3 linked regions of the Macaca mulatta genome follow. The protein of the gene in region 1 binds, or shares a complex with, the protein of each later gene. Links are inferred from orthologs where the notes say so. Each region holds a gene or a part of one and is shown in the gene's direction. Other genes may lie near its edges. The genes, in order: SNTG1, TRPV3 and PTEN.

Region 1 (8,069 bases):
TGAAGATGTTAAAACTGTGAATTGAAAAGGGTTTGGATATGGGTATTGGCCTATTATAGCTCTACATCTACTGGGAAACATGAAGTAAACACAGAAATAATTAGAAATATATATTAACTAAAAATAGAAACTTTAACTGGAATCACCAGTTTTTCAGTTGAGGTCTAAAAATTGTGAGCAAATGATACTCCACAGATGATAGGGGCTACTACCTATTTTTGTAGAAATATACAAGATATACAAAGTTTTTAAATATGCTGATTTTTGCATATGACAGTTTATGAGGCTGGCAAAAATTATTATTGTTATCACCATTTTATATATGGTAATGAGATGAGAAAATAGGAGACTTCCGGAATTGACACAGCCAATATTTTACATAGTGTATAATGACTATTCATTTAGATCATATTGTATGGCGGTTTCGCCTTACATTTTAAACTTCCTGACCCAAAGGACTTCCAATTGTTTCCAAAATGTTCCACAAACTATTATGTTTTCTAAGATTTGTGTACTATGTAGAGTGGACTAGAGGGGAATTGCATCCTAGTTTTATAGAGAGGGATTGAATGAGCCAGTTTAGGATTCACAGTAATGATGCTAGGTTACTACATTTTCTTGTGCATATAATGCTTCATGTATTGTTTTGATTATTTATATTCACATTTTACTATATTTACATTTTTAAAATCATGGCAACTTAAATTAAGAAATTTTTTAAAATCATTTAAAATAGACTTTAAAAAATCTGCTCCCAGGGTGAAATTTCTTAACATAATTCTTTAATTCACCTCAGCTTATTTGTCCCTTGGTTTTGTTATCTTGTACTTCATTTATATTCATTTGTCGCATCAGATGTTAGGCCGTATTTAATTTTCATCATATTGATTTCCATAACTGGTTACACAACTTGATGAGAAAAAATATAAAGTGGATTTTGCTTCTTGAAGAAAAGACATCAAACTATCATAATCATACTGGGACTGTCAGTTCAAATTAATCAACTGTTTCTGTTTTCTTTTACTGGCAGGACAGGGAGAGGGAGAGAAAGATTGAGAGAGACTGCATAAAACTCAATCGGTGATCAGGAAGAAGGGAATCTGCTCTTCTAGGTCTGAATAATCAAGTGCATGTGTTTTTAATTAGCAACATCTTTGTACTCTATGCCTCATTTAAATGCTCTTATTTGGTGTGTTGATTTTCTGTGATTATTCATGTTTCTATATATCCCGATAAAATAATTAACAATCAATTAAATCCACTTAAGTAAGCACAGAATTGAACACAGCAGAGAAAACCCTCTTTGCTGACAAGGAGGGAAGGGCCCTGATTAGCATAACCTTCACACGGGGGTTTGTTTTCCTTATCTAACAAAAAGGGGGCACTTTCTGAAACTTATTTCTACATAGGACAGGTATTGTTTCTGCAGAAAAAAATAAGCACGTGTTTGATCACATTTGTCTAAGGAAAAAGGAAACTTCATTTACCATAACCTTAAGCAATTTGTTTTCACATGGACTGAAAAGTGAAAGAGCCCTTAAAAATTAACCTCAAGCAGCAGATACTCTTTTTTTTAGGTTTGTGTGTCTCCGTGAGATCTGACGGCTTCCCCAAACACGGTTTTAGAGAGCCTCTGTTAAAAAAGACTGTTAGAGAAAGTTGACCAAGGGCTTCGTTCCACGGCGACCGTTTCCTGCGTGTGCAGCTCCACACAGCGACCGCGGCCTGCAATGCGCGGAGCACAGCGCGGCCTCTTTCAGCCGGAGCCGCGGTGGCGGCTGGTGGCCACCCCAGGGAAATAAAGCCATTGCTGCAGCAGTAAAATGGCTCAAAGTCCAGCCAAAGCCTGGCCTTTTCCTATGAGTGAATACGCGGCCTATTTGGTTCTCCGTCCCGACTGATTCCCGGCTCAATAACGTTTCTCCTCCAGGGAGCCCACTGGAACTCCATTAGCTGTGCCGCCTCCTCGCGCGCCCCCAGCGCGCGCCTCAGACCGGTGCTTGGAGAGCGCAATGTCCCCGAGAGGAAAGATCCCCTACCTGGAATGGATGGTTCCAGACCAGCGGGAACGCGCTCTAATCCTTAATGGAAGCAAGCGTGGGAGGAAAGCACAACGTCTAGGACTTCCCTCTAGTGTAAGAACAGGAGGAAGAAGAACCTGAGAAGTCGCCGGGGAAGGGAGGCCAGGAGCAGGCGTCCGGCCCCTTCCCACAGTCCGGGAGAAATTAGTGTTGCGCCCCGCCCCTCCCCAACCCCCTTCCCCACCACACACACCAGCGCCCCTCGCCAGCCTTTCTCGAATTTCCTCTCACGTCTATCAACAACCTCCTGGTAAAGAAATCTGCACTGCACAAGTCAAGAGCCTGCAAGGGCGGGAGATGTTACAGTCCAGCTCTTTCCATCTTCCCCCTTTACTCTACATAGTTTCAAAGGTCCGCATGGCCCTGGTTTTGACCAGTTTTCCAACAGTTTCAACGTTATGTATTTCAACTTCCCGTCTCAGTTCACTCGCGTCTGCACCCGTTGCCGAGTGTGGGTGGCGGAGCCCTGGGTGACAGCACTCAGGATCACGAACCCATACACTTCTTTATGCTCGTTGTCAGCCAGTTGCCAAGAGCAGTGGAACAGACACAAGTGGGGGCTGTTTGGAGCGGGAGTGAAGAGCCTTCAAGGCCCAGGAGAGCGCGGATTCCGGAGTAGGGAGGCGAGGGGGCAGCGTGGGAGACCAGAAGGGAAAATGGGCTGAAAAGCCAAGCAAACAAAAAACAAAAAAACAAAAACAAAAACAAACAAACAAAAAAGGTAAATTGGGCTTTGCTCCGGCTTTACAAAGGCAGAGATGGTCAAGCCCTCTGACTGACTTTGTGCCTTCTTTATCCAGTCCTTTGTGAAATAAGCCGCTTTCTGCCCCGCTGCAGGAGCTTAGGCTGTGGGAGACTCGCTTGCACTGCCCTGGGCCTCCAAGCTCCCTGCTCGCTGAGCCCAGCGCTGACACTCACAGGAGCTGCGTTCGCTGGATCCTCTGAGAGGCTCTGCAACGATCCCGATCCAATTCAGCAGCGTTATAAAAGGTAGCCGAGTGGAGATGCCTTTTCTTGTCTTTTTCATTCTTTCATTCTCTGTCTTTTAAAATTTTAGCAATATCCTGTCTTTTCCCCGTGGAGGGTCTAAGAATCTTCACTGGGTTTAATTTAGGAATTTCAAATTGGATATCTCAAAATTTGAATGTGGTCACCTTAATTGGTAATCAAGATTGCGAAGTCTTCCAAAATAGCCTTTTTCATCTTATGTAATTAGAGGTCCATGAGCTTTCCAAAGAAGCTCTGGATTTTCCACGGTACAAATCTGTATTTCTCTCTCTCTCCCTCTGTCTCTCTCTGCCTCTCTCGTGCGTGTGTGTGCGCGCGCCTGTGCGTGCGTTTTCTTTCATTTCTGGCATTAGGAAACTCGTTCAGGGCCACTGAAAAGTCAGGGGAGGCTCAGATGTTATTTCCTACGGATTCCTGTTTTTCCGGAAACGTTGTCACCAAATAAGAATGAGACTGTTATTTTGTAGAAACAATTAGCCCCTACCAAAAAAAAAAAAAAAAAAAAAAAAATCACCGGAGGGGAGAAGGCTAGGCTGGAAGAGAAGGAAGCTGCTGCTTGGATTCGCTGGTGGAGGAAAGTGCGACCGGGAGCTGGGCTTGGGGGCTCTCGTCCCCTTAGTTCAGCACCAGAGGGGATGGACAGCGTCTCCGGACCGGGCTGCAGCCACAGGAACGCAACTACGCTGCCGAGGCCGCTCTCCTTGCCGCCACTGTCGTCGCCAGGGGCAGCTGGGCTCCTTGCTCCTCGCAGCTAAAAGGAGGTGTCTCCTATTACTCCCTCGCCTCCCGGTCCCCTTCCTTAATGGATGAAAAGTACCCCTCCCTCTACACCTGCTGTACCTAAGGACAGGACTCTGAGGAGTACTCTTGCTCCACCGATTAAACTCTCGGCAGCAACTTCAAGAATCATTTTTCTATAGGGGCCTGGGAGGAATTCTGGCAGAAGAGTAAAGTCGAAGTTCTTAGAAGCTCTGAGAAATCATGGGCCATGCAGTAGGGGTCGAAATGTTAAAAGGCCCACACTTCTTGAAATAAACAGAATGGTCCTGAGTGGATTGCAACTGTTTTGGAAATAGCTTTGTGAAAAGAGGTTGGAGATCTACTCAAAATTCTACGTTAGAGAAACTGAAAAGACATCTAATTTCATTGCTTGGCAGGTAAGTGATAGCACTATTATTTTTGTTTTTTTAAAATTCTAATGACTTGTCTTATGGTTTAACAGAAAGAACATAAGCAATGTAATTTTTCCTGGGGTTAAGGGGGGGACAAGAAATTTTGTTTTAAAATAATTGTTTCTGGATCATTGTGTGACAAGAAGAATCAAAATAACATACATGTTGCCTTACATAAATACAGCAAACTTTTAGCTGGCCATTTTTTATTGCTTGTTTAATATCTTTTTGGATCTGTGCATATCTTGTTTATTTTTTTCCAAAGCTAATACAATCTGACGTTTCCCAAGATAATTTTGTTGTCTTATGTATGCCCAAAGTGATCCTGTCTGTGTTACATAGTATGCAAGGCTCAAAAAGTTGAAATAGAGAGGGTTTAACCATGCCCTCTAACACATTTTGTATTGTTACAATATACCAAACTAGGCATGGGAACAAACACATGTATACATACACACCAGATTTCTCACTCCATGCCAACCCCCAAGTATGCCTACACCTGTAGAATCTTATGTAAGGAGACACTCACATTTTTACTTAGCACCCTCTTTCTGGCCTTTTAAAGCTCAAGACTGCTTTCTCAAACTTGATCTGCCAGAAGGCAGAAAATGAGAAGCTTTAGTGTGCCTCTTTAGGAGAGCTGGATTTCAAAATCATTCTAACTTACTAGTTCTGTAAAATACATTTGTCACTGAAATTCAGAAAGTGATAGGGGCCAATAGGTTTCCGAAAAGCCGTAAACTTTAAAATGCTCATTAAATCTGTTTTCTGTTGATTCTTATTTCTAGTCTTCCCCTGGAGCTTTAAAATTACAATCTTTCACAGTGACCTTGATAAGCATTCTGCTTTAATAAAAAGGGTTCACTGGGCAAAAGCAGTTACACTAATTTATAACCCGTGCCTGACATTTCATTAAGAACTTGATCAATTCCAATGAGTACATTCAGTTCAGTGAAGAGTTTCCACTTGCAAGGATGGAATTTTATAGTCATGTAAATACATGTGATGACATATGCATAATCAACTCTGTGAAAAGAGTTTACCCCTTTGAAAAATTACAGGAGATCTTTAGGTTTTACTTTTAATCTCATTGGTTGTGTGTAACTGATAATAAAATGGCTCTACTTCACATCTGTACATACCTTCCTTCTCAATTTTAACACAAAAATCATTGGAGGCCGTTACAGTGGCATTCATTGGTGGGGTGATGTCCTCTTGTTTTATGTTGGCTGAGTGTAGCAATTACTCTCTGAGGAAAAATCATTCTTAACTGTCACCACTTACCATGAACCTGCTTGCTTAGCAGAAAAGGAGCAGAGGCATCTATGTCACTGAGCTCCTTGGGGGCTCTGTTGCCCTATATAGGTCAAGAATGATTATTTGAGGAGCAGAAACATGTATCATTGATTTGGATTTCTTCCCAGAAAACCTACAATGTGCTCTTAACACAATCCTTTTTTTCTCCAATAGGAGAGGTATAGAAGTGAAATTATCACATGGAAGAATTAATCATATTTTAAGAGAGTTACAGCATGTTGTTAGACAATTATTTTGGTTGTCAATTAATTAACACCGAGGGACTCCCCTAGTCAATAGGGCATAAAATGTAAGCAGAGAATGTGTTTCCAGAAGCACTCCTCCTCTGGGTATATGGCCGCAGTTCCCTCCTCAGGGGCAGAGGGGGCAGACTTTCTCTATGTGTAACTGAAATCTCTGAAAGTGAAAGTTACCTTTGCCTAATCCCTTAGGAGATTTAGTTACAGAAATACTAACTCTAATTCACTCCAAACTCATGAAAGTGCTTGGAAGCCCTTGTCAATCCTTATCTGTAGGGAAATGTCCTTACACTGAGATAGAGTTTGGGAAAGCAACTTAATGCCTACCTAATGCTAATCTCTAATTGCAAAGCAGATAGTCGAACAAACCAACAAAAAGGAGGTAGTGGAAACCAACCTTCATTATTGCACAGAATCACTTGTCTTTAAAGATCAATCAGCATTTTATTAAGGGATATCTGTACTCCACTAAGGGCATCTATTTGATTTGATAGTTATTTTGTTTTGCTGAAGAAAAACGATGCATGAGGTCTTGGGAGTACCAAACACAGTATCTCTTCTTCATTAAAAAAAAAAAAAAAAGCTTTATTGGATAAGACTAAGTGTTGTTGGCTGTTGCTTACATTTGAGACTCAAAAGGGAAAAGTGAGATAGGATTACATAATCTAGAAAATGTAAAGTGTATATAGGACCAGAGGATAATTAAAATGAGCCCTGGAGTCCATTCAATTGCCTTCTTCCAAAATATTATAAAACCCTTTCTTGATTAATTTTTGCATGGACTATATAGTAATATTTATATATTACCTGTATATTCTAATGTAATTATCAATACCATGAAATCATATTGGATTCTAATGTTATCTAATGTGGGCATTAGATAACTAATGATAATTAGATATCTAATTAGAATTACCCGTTAGATATCTAATTCTCATTAGATAACTAATGAGAATTAGATAACTCCAAGCCTTTGGAGTTATTTACTTGGGTTTCAACCAAGTTCAAACATTTATCAAAAAACATAAAAATAAGAAATGACTATTGCTAATATTTAGTAATTGGCTGTTTTTGACCACTTAAAGATTTATAAATTCCAGGCGGCTAACCTGCTTACTCACCTAGTTCCGTCAAGCAAGACCAAAGTCACTAGGAAAGAAAAAAGCATGTTGTAAGCTAGAAATTATTTCCGTAGTCATCTCACCTTCCCAGAAATCTGTACAGTGTGTTACAGAATAGAACTCAAACGGAGAGAGACATCTTATTTGGTGTTTTCTTCCCATTTAGCTTATCAGAGTGAGCACATAGCATGTGTTGGAAGAGACAACATCCTGCAGCAAGAAACATGTTACACATCATGTTGTAGGGAAACAAGTACTACCCGACAGTCAAAAGATCAGAATTTTTTAACTGCTGGCTGTAAGATCTTCTACAAGTCACTCAATTCACTGCAGCTTAATTTTTCTTCCTTAAATTTGGGGATGCTTTACCTTTCAATGAAGGCACAGTAGTTTACATACAGCTGATATGTGAACACTCATGAGATGAGTGAATGATGCCTACTTTGTGGGATACTGGAAAGTCCAAATTCAGTGATTTTGAGAGTGTTTTGGAAACAAGTGTTGTATCTGTGGGTTACTATCAATAATTTCCAATAGCATTCATTCATTCATCAAAAAATCCCACCAATTACTATATACCAGGCACATCCTTTATATTTAACAACTCTCACCTCGGGGAATATAATACTTTACTGATAATTCAGCAGTCATTTCCTTTATATCTCTTAATGGTATAAATATAAGCGATATTCAATGAAGGTGGACTTAGTTTAAAAAATATTTATTACTCAGAATTGACACCACGTTCTTTATCAATTGGACAAACCTAGTTGACCTGAGTTTATTTCAACAACTTTCATTTTGACCCTCAAAGAATCTATCACTTTGTGCCATAATTTTCTGGTTTATAAAGGAGTGTTAATGTTTGCCATTAGTGATATTGATAAGAAAACTCATAGGATAAGTAGACTTCAAAACTACCTATCCTAAAACATCCAGAAAACATTGTGATTTGACTGCTGGCTTGTGAGCATGGAGTGAAATGTGGACAACATGAGGGCTGATCTAAGGGGCTAGCCTGGAAATGCTGTTAAGATGCTGTCTTGATTTAGTCCAAAGCCTAGATTCTATTCATAGGCCTCTTTAGGAAATCTCTTTAGAAAACCAAATAAGCAATATTTCCTTGCTTAT
Region 2 (7,375 bases), on another chromosome or scaffold:
GGGAGGAGGCTGGGCATGTCCATCTGAGCAGGACACCAGGGTGGACCAGAGAAGGAGGGGCTGGGAGGAGGTGTTTGGGGAGGAGTCCATGTTCCGGGGTGTCATCTGGTGGTCTTAGAAGCATCGTCCTGGGCAGCCCTCTGAGGGAACAGAGACCTGGGAGGGAGTCTGAGGAGGGAGCCCCATTTTACAGGTGAGGAGAAGGCTCTGTGAAGGGAAAGGACTTGCCCCAGGGTAGCAGGGCATTGACTTAGATGTCCTGGCCTCCAGCTCTGACCTCTGTGCCTGGGCCCAGTGCTTCTCAGGACTGCAGAGAGGTAGTCAAGAGTGAGAGGGCAGAGTTCCCCTGCCTGACAAGTCACAGAGTCCAGAAGCGACTGGGGTTAGGATGCTCTAGGAAAAAAAAAAAATGATATGCATAATTTGGATAGAGTGTAAGTCACCCGTTTTAGAGGACAGTTCTGTTCATTTTCACAATGCGTCCTCGAGTTGGTTAACCACCACTGCAATCAGGACAGGGAACAAATGGCTCCCTCACACTCAAAAATTTCTCTGTGCAACTTTGTTGCAGAGGAGACCCCTCCTCCCACCCAGTCTTGCCTGACTGATGATCACCCATCTGTTTTCTCTTCTGGGTGGTTTTTTTTTTTTTTTGAGATGGAGTCTCACTCTGTTGCCCAGGCTGCTGGAGCACAGTGGCACCATCTTGGCTCACTGCAACCTCTGCCTCCTGGGTTCAAGCGATTCTCATGCCTCAGCCTCCTGAGCAGCTGGGATTACCTTCTGGGTGGTTTTTTTGATCAGCAGGACTAGCTAGTCTGCGCTCTGGGCAGCCCTGGATGTCCAGGTGTGGGTGTCCTGGAAAACAGGGTCTTGTCCAGTTCATAGTGTGCCCTCATTGTCCTGCATAGGACCTGGTTGGAGCTGGTGTTGAGAAGCATTTGTTGGGTGGGGTGAGGAGAGGGGAGGCAGCTGAAGACCTGGTGTCCAGGACTGGTCGTGTCCCAGGCTTGCTGTGTGACCTCATGTGAGTCACTTGCCTTATTTGTTCTTAACAAGCATTTATTGAGCACTTACTATCTACATCAGGTACTGTTCTAGGTATTTGAAATATATCACTGAACAAAACAGAAATCCTTGCCCTCATGGAGCTTACATTCTAGACAGGGAGAGACCATCGGTAACAAGCATTATAAATAAGCATTTTATATAGTATGATGCAAAATGTTAAGTGCTCTTAAAAAATACAAAGTGGACCGGGTGCCGTGACTCACACCTGTAATCCCAGCACTTTGGGAGGCCGAGGCAGGTAGATCACGAGGTCAGGAGTTCAAGACTATCCTGGCCAACGTGGGGAAGCCCCGTCTCTACTAAAAATACAAAAAGTAGCCGGGCGTGGTGGTGCACGCCTGTAGTCCCAGCTACTCGGGAGGCTGAGGCAGGAGAATTGCTTGAACCCAGGAGGTGGAGGTTGCAGTGAGGCGAGATCGCACCACTGCACTCCAGCCTGGTGACATAGTAGGACTCTGTCTCAAAAAAAAAAAAAAAAAAAAAAAAAAAAAAAAAAAGTAAAGCAGAGGACAAGGAATGAGGAGTTCTGTCTGGGGCAAGAGGAGGGTGGATTTTAATTTTAAACAGTGTTTAGGGTGGCTCATTGAAAGGTGATGTTTGAGCAAGGACGTGAAGGAGGTGAGGGAGTGAGTGACTCGACTATCTACAGGCAGAGGGGATAGACGAGCGAAGGACCCGGGGCCTCCTGTTGGAGGAGGTGGAAGAAGGCCATTGTGGCCGGAGGGAGTGAGTGATGGGGAGAGGAGGTCAGAGGATGCAGGGCTTAGTGGGCTGCCGTTGGAACCTGAGCTTTCATTCTGGGAGAGGCACTAGCAGATTGATCTGGCTGCTGTGCTGAGCAGAGTATTAAAAGGCCAGGGTGGAGACAGGGAGGCCAGTTAGGAGGGTACTGCCGTGATCTAGCTTCACTCTTCCCCATAGAAGCGGAAGATGGGGAGAGGGCCAGGGAACCTGAGTTGCCAGTCCTGCTGAGATAGGATATGGGCCCCAGTCCTGGGTCTTGGGGGACGCTGCTTCCGGCCCATGAGAGAACCAAGCTTCAATGTGCTCACCCGCCAGGTGAGACGCCCCTGGCCCTGGCAGCCTGCACCAACCAGCCCGAGATTGTGCAGCTGCTGATGGACCACGAGCAGACGGACATCACCTCGCAGGACTCGCGGGGCAACAACATCCTCCACGCCCTGGTGACCGTGGCCGAGGACTTCAAGACGCAGAACGACTTTGTGAAGCGCATGTATGACATGATTCTACTGCGGAGTGGCAACTGGGAGCTGGAGACCACTCGCAACAACGATGGCCTCACGCCGCTGCAGCTGGCCGCCAAGATGGGCAAGGCCGAGGTGGGGCCATGGGGCATGGGGAAGCGGGAGGTCGGGAGGTCAGGAGGCACAGCTGCCACTCTCTCAGCGCCGGGGGCCCTATCGGGGATTCAGAGACCACAGCCTCAGCCTTGAGAAGGTCCCAGACTTAGGTCCAGAAATGCAGTGGCGTGGCGGCCCGAGGTGGGTTTGTTCTGAGGGGCCACGCGGAGCTGGTGAGATGCAGCCCACTCTCTAGACTTCAGTCCCTAATACGCCGCGTTTCCATCTCTTGTCCTTAGGCTGGGGGAGTCTGAGGCTGAGGTGACACAGAAGCCCCAGCAGGGCTGAGTGGGTGGCCCTTGGGGCCTTCTGCCTCTCACGGGGACGGGAGTTCCAGAATGGCTGCTCTGGGCCCAGAGCTAATATGCTGCCATCTCCCAGTCATGGAGAGACTCCAGCCTGTTTGTCCGGCTGGAACTCTGTGCCGTGTCCCCAGCCGAGAGTGTGGCTGCTTTGGGCCCTTCTTGCCTTGTGTGATGTGGCTGAGATAACCGAGGCTTAGCTGGGAGCCTTGGTGAAGACTTGAGCAGGGCTGGGCTCGGATCTCTTTCAGGGGCCGGTGTCATGGCTTGGTCTGAGACGTTCTTAGGGGACGGATTCTGGGGTCTAAGTGTGTTCCTCAGCCTCACTGTCTCACTCCTCTGCGAGGAGGCTGTGGCTCCTGGGACGCCACCAGAGGACACTGGGGGGTGGTGGCTGTTAAGTAATTGCAGCTGTGCCAGCCTCAGGGTACCCGCCTCCCTGGTTAGCTGCCCCGAGGGCCTTGGTCCTGTCCCAAGTAGTCAGGCCTGGGGCCCACAAGGGGCCTTTTGATTCGCCTGTGGGGGAGGAGGAGATGGAGAACTGCTTCAACAGAGGAGGAATTGTGTGTCTGCCTCCCCGCAGCTCCTGCCTACCCTCAGGGTCACAGCTTGCTGGGGCTTTGAAGAGTCAGCTTGTGGTTGCAGAAGGAGCCTTCTCCAAGGCCATCTTCCCTGTGTGCCACTGTGGCGGGTGCTGTCCCTGCCACCCCAGCCCGGGGAGGAGGCTTCCTGCATGGAGCATGGCCCCAGGACCCCCTTGTTTTCTAGGGGACAGTGTGCCCGCTGTGGCTGGCCTGGGGGAGGCACCTGTCCCCCGCATCCCTCCTCTGTTCCGTGTCCTCCAAAAAACTTTCCTGGATGCTACCCAGGTTGGCCACCGTCCTGGGGCTTTTATAGGCTGGGGTGCGGGACGGAGAGACCTGGCCTTATCCCTAGAAGCTCTCTGCCTGGGCCCTCATGACAGATGGGATGGGAACCCACGGGGCCTTGTGAGGCCAGATCTCTGACACTGTCCTTCCCAACAGTCCCTTCCTCTTGGGTCTTGAGTTGGTGCCCTAGGAAGCCCATGTCTCATCCGGGGGTAACCCAGGGCTCAGCTTTTTGGAAGTAGGAGCCAGAGACAGCGGCTCTGCATCCAGCCTGCACTTTGGAACTAGCCAGGAAGCTTCTCCTGGGTCCCACCCTGGAGATTTTGATTTCATTAGTTGATGCTGTGGGAATTTTTTTTTTTTTTTGAGACTAGACTCTCACTTCATCGCCCAGGCTGGAGTGCAGTGGCACAGTCTTGGCTCACGGCAACCTCCGCCTCCCAGGTTCAAGCGACTCTCCTGCCTCAGCCTCCTGAGTAGCTGGGATTACAGGCATGCACCCCCACGCCCGGCTGATTTTTGTATTTTTAGTAGAGATGGGGTTTCACCACGTTGGCCAGGCTGGTCTCAATTCCTGACCTCGAATGACCCGCCCCTCCTTGGCTTCCCAAAGTGCTGGGATTACAGGCGTGAGCCACTGCACCTGGCCCATGCTGTGGGAATTTCTAAGTTTCCCAGCGACCCCAACATGCAACAGAGTTTGAGGATCACTGACCTACCGAAGTCCCGCGGGCCTCCCTGTGGGGCGTGGCGTTTCTCGTCACCAGCTGTCTGGCCAGAGCAGTGAGCCACAGCTGGAAGGGTCTTGGCTTACGGTGAGCTGGGGACACTGAGAACACTTCTGGCTTCTTCTCAAGTCCAGAGCAAACGGAAACTGTTTCTAAAAAATCATCAGTGCCTGGAGTTTTCACTGAACTGGGGCCCCAGCTGGCGTGAGGCGTTTCAAGCCGATTGTGCAGCTTGCTGCAGCCTGTGAAGAACCTTCACACCTTTTGTCCCCGGTGTTCACATCCCCCAGTGAGATGGGCAGAACAGCAAGCTGTGTGCACATTCCGCAGATAAAGACGGGGCCCAGGGGCCGTCGTGCCAGGCGCAGAGGCAGGTCTCCACCCATCCTGGGCGGGAGTATCTCCTGGGCCCAGCCCACCTCTGGCTGGTCCAGCCCTGTTGGCCTCAAGCCCCTGTTCTGCAGCTGACAGTTGTTCCTCGTCTTGTCCCAGATCCTGAAGTACATCCTCAGTCGTGAGATCAAGGAGAAGCGGCTCCGGAGCCTGTCCAGGAAGTTCACTGACTGGGCATACGGACCCGTGTCGTCCTCCCTCTACGACCTCACCAACGTGGACACCACCACGGACAACTCCGTGCTGGAAATCACCGTCTACAACACCAACATCGACGTGGGTCTTCTGAGCAGGCAGGGAAGGGCAGGGAACAGAGGGCTGGACCTCAGGCCAGGGGCTCCGAGGACGCTGGGAAGACCCAGTGCTGCCAGCTCCACCGCCCCGTGTCTGCATCCCCCACTCTGCTGCCTCAGTGGGCAGATTCAGGCACAGAAAGGGCGAGGCCTGGGACAGATGCTGGGCCCGCCTCTTCCTGGTTGACCTTGGACTGTAGACCTGAGTGGTGGTGGTGGGGGCAGGTGGGGGTCTTCCGGTCCCAGTATCCGGGGCTGTTTGGGTGTGGGTGTGGGTGACAGGGTGGTTGGGGTTGATCCTTTCCATATTGTTTCTCTCCCACCCCCCTGTTGGTGTATATGGTCAGGCTTAGAATTCTTTCTTCCCCAAAACCTGGTCCCAAATGAGGGTCAGAGGGTGCGCTGAGAAGCAATCAGGGAGGCCTTCCTGGAGGAGGCTGGAGGGGAGCGTTTGGTGCCACCGAAGGTGAAGAGAGGAGCAGCTACGAGAGGCGTTCAGCTCTTGGGGGAAGTGAGGCAGCAGGCTGGGTCTTCCTCCTCCATACTTTACCGAGAGTCATGCTTCCCAGAGTCTCCTTGCCTTGGGTCTTCCCAGACCCTCACGGCAGCCTGGTTGGTAGGACAGGGATTGTTAGGAGTTTTATAGGTGAGGAGTCTGAGGCCCAGAGAGAGTCAGGGGCTGTCCTAAGGTCACACAGCAAAGGAGGGGCAAACTGGGGCTGGAACCCCTGTCACTACCTCCTGCCCGCTTCTATCCTCCACTTTCTGCTGTGCATCGAGTCCTCAAGCCCAGGCTCCTGCGGCCTCTGAGTACTGCCCGAGTACCGTGGGAGGAGCCTCAGGAGCCGGAAATCGCCCTCCCAGCATTTCCAGCCAAACCAGTCCACTGGGCATAATGATGGACCCCGGCAGAAGGGGCACTGCCTCAGAGCTCCCACAGGCCTTTAGCAAACGGTCGCTCCTTCTGTCCCTCATCTCCATGGTGACTGGTGGCATTCTACCCCTAGAACCGGCATGAGATGCTGACCCTGGAGCCACTGCACACGCTGCTGCGGATGAAGTGGAAGAAATTTGCCAAGTACATGTTCTTTCTGTCCTTCTGCTTTTATTTCTTCTACAACATCACCCTGACCCTCGTCTCGTACTACCGCCCCCGGGAGGAGGAGGTACGTGGGCCCCGTGGAGGGGAGAAATGGGGCGGTCAGAGCTGGCGGGGCTTGGAGCTGCCCCACGTGCAGGTGGGAAAACTGAGGCCCAGAGAGGCCAGGAGATTTGGGTGGGGTCCCCAGTTGTCCTTCACATTTTCTAGGGAACTGAGTAAGTCTTCGGTGCTTAGTTGGGCTAAACCCTAGGTGCTGAGTTCCAGGCAGACCCATGTTGGGGGGGAAAGTTGGAGAATTCGGAGACTCAGGCCCTGCCCAGGGTCTCTGTCAAAATACAGAACTGACTGGGTGTCTCTGCTGTGAGGGCTGCAGGAAATGGGAGGACGATAAGCTCTCCCTGCCTGCCGGGCCTCGGCTTCCCATGCGTCACGTGGGGCACGGAGCCTCGGCTTTATTGAATGGTGCGGTGAGGCCGTGTTGAGTGTCTGGATATGAATGGGTTCTGGAAAGGCTATTGCAATGGAGTGTGAGGGTTGTTAGCACCGATTGGCTGATACTTGTCGTTGTAGAGTTATGGGTTTCCATCAAGGGTGGGGAGGGTGGGGTCAGGGAGCTGCTCCTCCTTTTCTCGCTCTGTACAGAGATCGGGTTTCGTGCTGGCCTCCGGCCTGGCTTGAGTGTTTTATCTGTGTGTTGGTCCCTGTAGAGTTGGTGCCAGCCCGGTCCACCTTACTCCCTGTTCCGACCACCCCTCTGCTATCCCCCCAGGCCCTCCCGCACCCCTTGGCCCTGACGCACAAGATGGGGTGGCTGCAGCTCCTCGGGAGGATGTTCGTACTCATCTGGGCCACGTGCATCTCCGTGAAAGAGGTGAGTGGGTCACTCGGCCCCTCCAGACCACCCCGCGAGGCAGGCAGGTGATAGCAGGCCTGGCCTCCATCCCTGTCTGCTCTGCCGTTACTGCTGGGGGGCTTCAGGGAGGCGTTTCCTTCCCAAGCCTTAGCTTTCTGAGTTATAAATTGGGAAAAAATGGATAAGACTGGCCTATCCTACCTACTTCATTCATCTACTTCCCTATCCATCTGCCCAGCTATCCACCGTGTATCTACCTTCCCAGCCACTCAGTGTCCCTTGTCCTCTTCCACCCCCATCCACCCATCCGATCACCTGCCCTCTTTCATGGACTCAGCCACTCATTCATCCATTCACATGCCCGCTTATCCTTACCAACCATCCTTCTATCCTTTATCCAACC
Region 3 (7,375 bases), on another chromosome or scaffold:
GTCCTATATCTCTGATTCCTTATAAAATACTCCATTATGAATTCTTCACTATTGACAATTTCTCCTCTTTTATCTGTACCAAAGAAAGTGTAAAATGTGACTGTCTTCTTTGTCAGTCCTCTTCTTCCTGTTTTTCATATCAGTGGATATGAAATTATTAGCAAGGATGCATATATGTGCATATGTCATTGCTAAATACGTTTTCTTTCTAAAAAAATTCAGTATACTAAATTATACTAAAAAGGAAAAGCTTGTTTTGAGTGGTAATATGAAAGTTGTTTTATTTTAGGTCTGACCAGTTAGAAACCAGTGGATTTCAGTTTATTTATAATTGGTTAAACCTTCATGTGAATTTCGTTTTGAATTTCCTTTAAAGTAGAGAAACTATATAGATGTTTTCAGGGTTTCTAAATGTACAATACAGGTTCACAATCACTTATTTGAAACTCTTGGGGCCAGGAGTGTTTCCATTTTCAGAAATTTTAGTTTTCAAAAGGTAACACAGATGCGTATACTTTTACATAAACACCCCAGTGGGATGTGGGTCAATACCTGAAATGAAATGTTTCACTCTTCACTCTAAGTGTATTAAAGATTATATACAGTCTTATTACTTCAGATCAGGATTTGCTGTAGTTGAGTTTGCCATAAAACTTAAGAGAAAGTGTTAGATGTTTTGAACTTTTGGGATATTGAAATTGCAGGTTAAGGATCTATGGACCTTTATTTGTTTTAAAATGCTAAGATTTTATTTTAAATAATTTTTTAAAAAATTGTTTTGCATAGTAGTTGGAGTTACCAGGCTACTGCTAGCCACACTGATACATAAGATCTCTTTCTGAGCCTTGTATTGTTTGTAAACATGGGCTGTTAATTATTAGAAAGCCAGTACATACTAACGAATATATCACTGCTATTAAGACAAATATTAGCATACTCTAGTAATGACAAGTCAGCATTTTACTATTCTGTATTGCTTTTGCTTATTCTTTCGTTACTCTCATACTGTAATTAAAACTTGCAACCTGAGAGACTGTTGTAAAAGGTGACCATTGGCTTTTCAACAGGGAGAAAGGTCTGTTTTAAAAAAAATTGGTGGCCGGGCGTTGGCTCAAGCCTGTAATCCCAGCACTTTGGGAGGCCAAGACGGGCGGATCACGAGGTCAGGAGATCGAGACCATCCTGGCTAACATGGTGAAACCCCGTCTCTACTAAAAAATACAAAAAAACTAGCCGGGTGCGGTGGCGGGCACCTGTAGTCCCAGCTACTCGGGAGGCTGAGGCAGGAGAATGGCGTAAACCCGGGAGGCGGAGCTTGCAGTGACCTGAGATCTGGCCACTGCACTCCAGCCTGGGCGACAGAGCAAGACTCCGTCTCAAAAAAAAAAAAAAAGAAAAAGAAAAAAAAAATTGGTAAGCATTGTGTCCAAGTAGATTAACATCATTCAGTTTTTCTTTACTGTCCTTATGCTTTTATTATTTTTAACATATATCTTTTTGAAGAATAGTTTGAGAATTATGTATGCTTAAATATGAGATACAGATACTATTGAAACTAGCCAGTTGTTTATAGGTACTTGTAAAAAAAAAAAAAAATTCCAATAGCATGCAAATTTTTCATAGAGGAAATTTGAAAGCATGGAAGCACCTGAATTTGCAGTACTCTATAGTAGTGACATCACAAGTTTTGTAAGCAAATTTATTAGCTCTAATTGCATACACTTAATCTTTTAAGCTTTGGTTTTATTATTATAATATGGGGGTGATAATAGTATCTACGTAATAGAATTCTTATTACATGAAATAATTAATGTTAAACAGCATAATATGTGTCACATTATAAAGATTCAGGCAATGTTTGTTAATATTAGTACTTTTTTTCTTCCTAAATGCAAAAGATAACTATATATCACTTTTAAACTTTTCTTTTAGTTGTGCTGAAAGACATTATGACACCGCCAAATTTAATTGCAGAGGTAGGTATGAATGTACTGTACTATGCTGTATAACTTAAACCCGATAGACTATATCTTAACTGTCATAATAATGAGTCATCTAGATTATTGAGTGAGATACGTATTTATCTTAAGAAGTATCTTAAAAATTTTCAAAAAATTTAATTTTGCTGTTTTTTAGGAAAAAAGTATTGCATAAAGCTATTAATATTGTCAGGAAGACTGAAGTGCAGAGTAGACTAAGAATTAGGAAAATTCCTAGACTAAAAATAGTATAAGGAGAGGGTTTACCTACTGTTTAAGGCAGTAGGTCTAATAGTAAGCAACTATAGGGAGAAAGCAGAACTACTTAACTCTTCTGTGTTGAGGAATGACATAAAAGGTAGGAAAGGATATAACAAATGTTGATAAGAGAAACCTGATGGATGAGAGGAGGGAATTGCTTTAAATGAGTTCTACTTCAGACATAAGTTAATTCTCAGAGCCCACAAAAACTTTCACTTTTATTTGTGAAATACAGCTCAGTTCTATGACCTAACACTTTAAACCATGAGAGAACTGAAGAGTTGAGAAGCTAGGCAGATGCCGCTGTGATAGTCAAAAAGAGAAAGTGGGTGCCATGAGCTACTATTGATGTATTTGCCATTGATCCCTCCTGAAAATCTAGAATGGACTTTCAGACAGATGGTTTGAAAATTCTAAATCACTCATGATTGAGATTTGGTATAGATTCACTAAGAACGTTTTGTTTTTGTTTTTGGTGGATTTAGGTTGTTGCTTACTAGGCAAAGCAGGCTTTAGTTGAGGTTTATGTTGCTTTAAATAGACATTTAACAGGTTTTCCTGGAGGTTTTTGTGTACCACTGGGAAAATGGAGTTAGGCAGATGACTAAGTGAAAGCTGTCCTTCTGGACTCCCTATAATGATAGTCATTGTCTACCAGAAGAGCTGTCCTGTCACACCAAAGGATAATTGATTGTATCCTGTATCATATTATGAGTGACTTGATTGGAGATATAAGACATACATCTCACATATTTAGGTAACACAGGATAGTACGTTGAGTATCAGTCAGAGTTTTTAAGGATCTTAATAGAGTGGAACTAAGGTAGAAACTATTAAGAACAATTAATAGTGATATATCTATAGTCCTGTTTCTAAACAAGGTTTTTTAAAAACCTCAACTCTGACTATAGTGAACAGAGAAGTCTTGGACTCTTATAATTCATGTGAGAAGACCTGAAACTTTGATAACAATTATATACATTTTGTAAGTAATTTCTTTGGTGTATGCCTTCACATATCTCTGTATGTGACCTATGCTACCAGTCCATTGAGCGTAAATTCCCAGAATGTATTCTCCTGCAGAAAATGGAGGTAAATAGTACTTGGCTTCCCTAATGATTTACATGTGTATACAACACTAATATTTGCAAGACCACCTTTAAATAACACACTTAGCATTTTTATTTTATGAAATGTAATATGCAATTCTTTCTATAGTTTATTAGTAATCTATTCTGTCTTTGGAATATGTTTTGTGATGATGAAATAAATACTATAAATAGTATTCCTTTTGCATTGAGAGTCCTGATGAAATGTCCATGTGACATTTCATTTTGGGTTTAGCTGTACCTCTAATATGTGACCTATGCTGTCAGTCCGTATAGTGTAAATTCCTAGAATATATCCTTCTGAATAAAATGGGGGAAAATAATACTTGCCTTCCTTAATGATTATATTTGAGACTTATCAAGAGACTATTTTCTATTTAAAAATTAGAAAGTTAAGCAATACATTATTTTTCTCTGGAATCTAGTGTTTCTTTTAAATACTTGTTAAGTTTGTATGCAACATTTCTAAAGTTAACCTACTTGTAATTAAAAATTCAGGAGTTTTTTTTCTTATTCTGAGGTTGTCTTTTTACCACAGTTGCACAATATCCTTTTGAAGACCATAACCCACCACAGCTAGAACTGATCAAACCCTTTTGTGAAGATCTTGACCAATGGCTAAGTGAAGATGACAATCATGTTGCAGCAATTCACTGTAAAGCTGGAAAGGGACGAACTGGTGTAATGATTTGTGCATATTTATTACATCGGGGCAAATTTTTAAAGGCACAAGAGGCCCTAGATTTCTATGGGGAAGTAAGGACCAGAGACAAAAAGGTAAGTTATTTTTTGATGTTTTTCCTTTCCTCTTCCTAGATCTGAGAATTTATTGGAAAACAGATACTGGGTGTTTTTTTTTTTTTTCCTTCAGTTTTATTGAGGTGTAATTGACAAGTAAAAATTATATATAAATACAATGTATAATATGATCTTTTGATGTATGTATATATACATTGTGTAATGATCACTACAGTCAAGCTACTTAACATATTCATCACCTCACATAATTATTCTTCTCCCTTCAAGGTGAAAGCATTTAACATCTACAAGCTTCAATTTTCAGTTATACAATGTTATTATTAACTATAGTCACTGTGCTGTCCAGTAGATCTTCAGATCTTGTTCATCTTGTGTCCCTCCCCGCCCCACCATCAGTCCCTGGAAAACAGGTTTTAAAAATAGTTGCTAATCCTTATTTCTTCTAAATTTTTAAATCAGTTGCTGCCTCAATTTCTATATGAGAAATGACTGATTTCATTTTTCTGTTCATGCTACCATTTTCATATCATACTAGCACATGTTACCCATTAACTGTATTGCAGATTTGGTCTCATAAAATTCTTTTAAAATAACATTTTTAAAAAGCTATCAAAAATAAGCTTATATTTCTGAAGCTTATTTGAGCATAGAATGGCTTTGGATAAAATACCATTACCTAGTAAAGTGTGAACTTTTATAATACATAAAAATTATTCTTTTATAAGAATATTCATAAATGTAGTTAGATTAATAGAAGATTCTTGATTCTTTGATCGGAAAACTAAGGACTATATTGAAAAATCAGTGATAAATTTAATACTTATAGTACATCTGAAAGCAAAAAGAAAACTCTTGGGATAACTTTTACAGTGATTTAATTTTGCTGTTGATGTATTTCTTTGGGTGGTAAGTATGGCAAAACATGTTAAAATTTAATACAAAGAGATTTTGTTCATTTTTCCATCTCTAAAGGGACAAAGCCTAAGCCCCTCCAGACAGATAGAAAAACTCATTTAGAGAGTTCCCCTTCATGTTAAGCTAATTTCTTCTTAATTCAACTGTAAAACAGAAATAGAATGATCATATTAATCATTTAAAGCTGTGTAGTTGCATTGATTCCTTGTTCCTTTACCCCTCTCTCATGTCTTGTTTCCTTACCTTTGTGACTTTTTTTGCATTATGTATAAGGATGCCAAAGTACTATTTATTGTTGATAGTTTACAAAATTGAATCTTACATTAGTGCATAATTTTGGTGAATGTTGAAGTTTATGGTAGATTGCCTTACATTTCTGCATATTGTTTGCACCTTGGAATGATAGCACTGGCATAAATTATAGAGCTGAGGATCTAAAGATTTTGACTTTGATTTATCCCATTATTATCTGCAGGGAAACAGTTGCTTTTACTGATTAAAAATATAGGCCAGCCGCAGCGGCTCACGCCTGTAATCCCAGCACTTTGGGAGGCCAAGGCGGGCGAATCACAAGGTCAAGAGATCAAGACCATCCTGGCCAACATGGTGAAACCTCGTCTCTACTAAAAATACAAAACTTAGCTGGGTGTGGTGGCGCGCACCTGTAGTCCCAGCTACTCAGGATGCTGTGGCAGGAGAATCGCTTGAATCCAAGAGGCAGAGGTTGCAGTTAGCTGAGACCATGCCACTGCACTCCAGCCTGGTGACAGAGCGAGACTCCATCTCAAAAAAAAAATTAAAATGCAGTAGCAAAAGCGATGGTAGAAATTTAAAACCGAGTTGATGAGCAGCAGATAACTTGGTAGTGGGAAAAAAGTCAGGTAAAACAATTTTTGTAATAAAATAGAAAGATTTTGTAATGTGGAGGCACAGAACACTAGATTTAAGCCAGGGGGTCTTAAGTTGTGTTACATACCTTTTAAAAGTCTGATGGAAGGTATAAATGTTCTCCCACCAAAAAATGTACATAGTGTACATAAAATTTTGCACATAGTTTTTATTACATTGAAATATATTATTTTAAACAGAATGTAAAAGAACCTTCATGAAAACTATGTCACTTTTTTTAATGCAAAAACCAGTGGCCACTACCTGAGAGCAGTGAATAAATCTAAGTGGTACAAATTAACCAAAATTAAGCTTTAGTTCTGTTCAATACGAAATTTTAATGAAAAAACTGCTATTTAACTTTTAAAATAACAAGTTGAAACTATGCTCTTTGACTTTGCAACTTTTATATCCAATCTTTGATATCCAATCAGTGTTGACTTTGGTAAAAAGTGCTGAAAATGCTATTTTACAAAAGAAAAAAGAGTAAATGGAATCTGAAGATTCTCTTGCCTGATGAAAGTAGACTTGTCAAGAAATAAGACTTCTCCAAGACTTGAGATAAATTCATGTTGCATCATTTTCTTTGCCTTCAAGTTACTGAGATCATTTTTGGCAAGATCTGTAACATTAATAGTGTGTTAGGAAGGAAAAGATTATGACTCCATATTTTACTTTCAAGGTTGAAGAGTTAAACTCTTTAAAAAGAGTGTATTTTACCCTGTAAACAACAGTATCAGGCTGTAGAATTTGTCTTCTGAAAGCAGTGAACTTACATATAGCAGAGAACTTCATAGAACTCCCATTTCTTGACAAAACCTCTCAAGAAGCTCTTGATTGAAAGTCTTGGCTTTCATGAATCTGGCAACTTTCACAATAGTAGATTTTTCATGACAAATCCTCTTACACAGGCGATTATTCAAGGGTTGGCACTTGAAACAGTAGAATACTTTCACAACAAGAGATAAGATTTCTTTCAGAATTGATGACAGTCTTGCACCCTAGTGCGTACTGATGAAGAAAGCAGTGGGTGACCATGACATGGAGAGCTGCTGTCTTTACCAGTGCCACAATATCAGATGTGTTCTCTGGCAGTAAGGTGTACTATCTGCCTACAGTATACTGAGGTTTCTTCAGGAGAAGTTTTGTGGTAAAGAAACTTCACTATTTTGAAAGTGTTAATGTTTTCTGAAGTTTCCAAAAAGGATTCCAAAATGGGAATGTTTCCTTGATTGTGTCACCTTGCTTGCATTTGATGAAAACTAGTAGCCGGCTATACTGAGAAATCATATCTGAAGAAAAGTGGTACTTCCAATCTTTTTGTGACCTACTTTATTATTATTTTTTTAATGTCAGGTTTTTTTTGGAATGGATAAGAGTATTTGATAGAAGTATTTGCAACAGTCTTACTCTTCTTCATGCTACAAGTATGTTTGACTCTTTCTAAGATACTTGCCGTCACCG

What was found.
Region 2: the proteins of SNTG1 (region 1) and TRPV3 are in contact, whole or in part, in a crystal structure (PDB 7QQN), measured with the Homo sapiens proteins. The link is inferred for Macaca mulatta from reciprocal best matches to the Homo sapiens genes SNTG1 and TRPV3. Residues at the interface, in NP_001274742.1 of Homo sapiens: Arg62, Gly66, Gly67, Phe68, Gly69, Leu70, Ser71, Ile72, Lys73, Gly74, His78, Ser85, Lys86, His118, Glu119, Val122, Arg126; in NP_659505.1 of Homo sapiens: Pro786, Glu787, Thr788, Ser789, Val790.
Region 3: the proteins of SNTG1 (region 1) and PTEN are in contact, whole or in part, in a crystal structure (PDB 7PC7), measured with the Homo sapiens proteins. The link is inferred for Macaca mulatta from reciprocal best matches to the Homo sapiens genes SNTG1 and PTEN. Residues at the interface, in NP_001274742.1 of Homo sapiens: Gly67, Phe68, Gly69, Leu70, Ser71, Ile72, Lys73, Gly74, Glu77, His78, Ser85, Lys86, Ile87, Ser88, His118, Val122, Leu125, Arg126; in NP_000305.3 of Homo sapiens: Asp395, Gln396, His397, Thr398, Gln399, Ile400, Thr401, Lys402, Val403.

What each region holds. Positions count from the first base shown.
Region 1 is NC_133413.1:60,456,212-60,464,280, forward strand, and holds the start of SNTG1 (gamma-1-syntrophin), read left to right. Parts: upstream 1-3,428; 5' UTR 3,429-4,246; intron 4,247-8,069. UniProt on the Homo sapiens protein: Adapter protein that binds to and probably organizes the subcellular localization of a variety of proteins. May link various receptors to the actin cytoskeleton and the dystrophin glycoprotein complex.
Region 2 is NC_133421.1:5,011,363-5,018,737, reverse strand, and holds part of TRPV3 (transient receptor potential cation channel subfamily V member 3), read left to right. Parts: intron 1-1,044; exon of another isoform or gene 1,045-2,130; coding exon 2,131-2,411; exon of another isoform or gene 2,412-3,250; intron 3,251-4,318; exon of another isoform or gene 4,319-4,669; intron 4,670-4,823; coding exon 4,824-5,000; intron 5,001-6,024; coding exon 6,025-6,183; intron 6,184-6,888; coding exon 6,889-6,990; intron 6,991-7,375. UniProt on the Homo sapiens protein: Non-selective calcium permeant cation channel. It is activated by innocuous (warm) temperatures and shows an increased response at noxious temperatures greater than 39 degrees Celsius. Activation exhibits an outward rectification.
Region 3 is NC_133414.1:100,004,798-100,012,172, forward strand, and holds part of PTEN (phosphatidylinositol 3,4,5-trisphosphate 3-phosphatase and dual-specificity protein phosphatase PTEN), read left to right. Parts: intron 1-1,932; coding exon 1,933-1,976; intron 1,977-3,887; coding exon 3,888-4,126; intron 4,127-7,375. UniProt on the Homo sapiens protein: Dual-specificity protein phosphatase, dephosphorylating tyrosine-, serine- and threonine-phosphorylated proteins.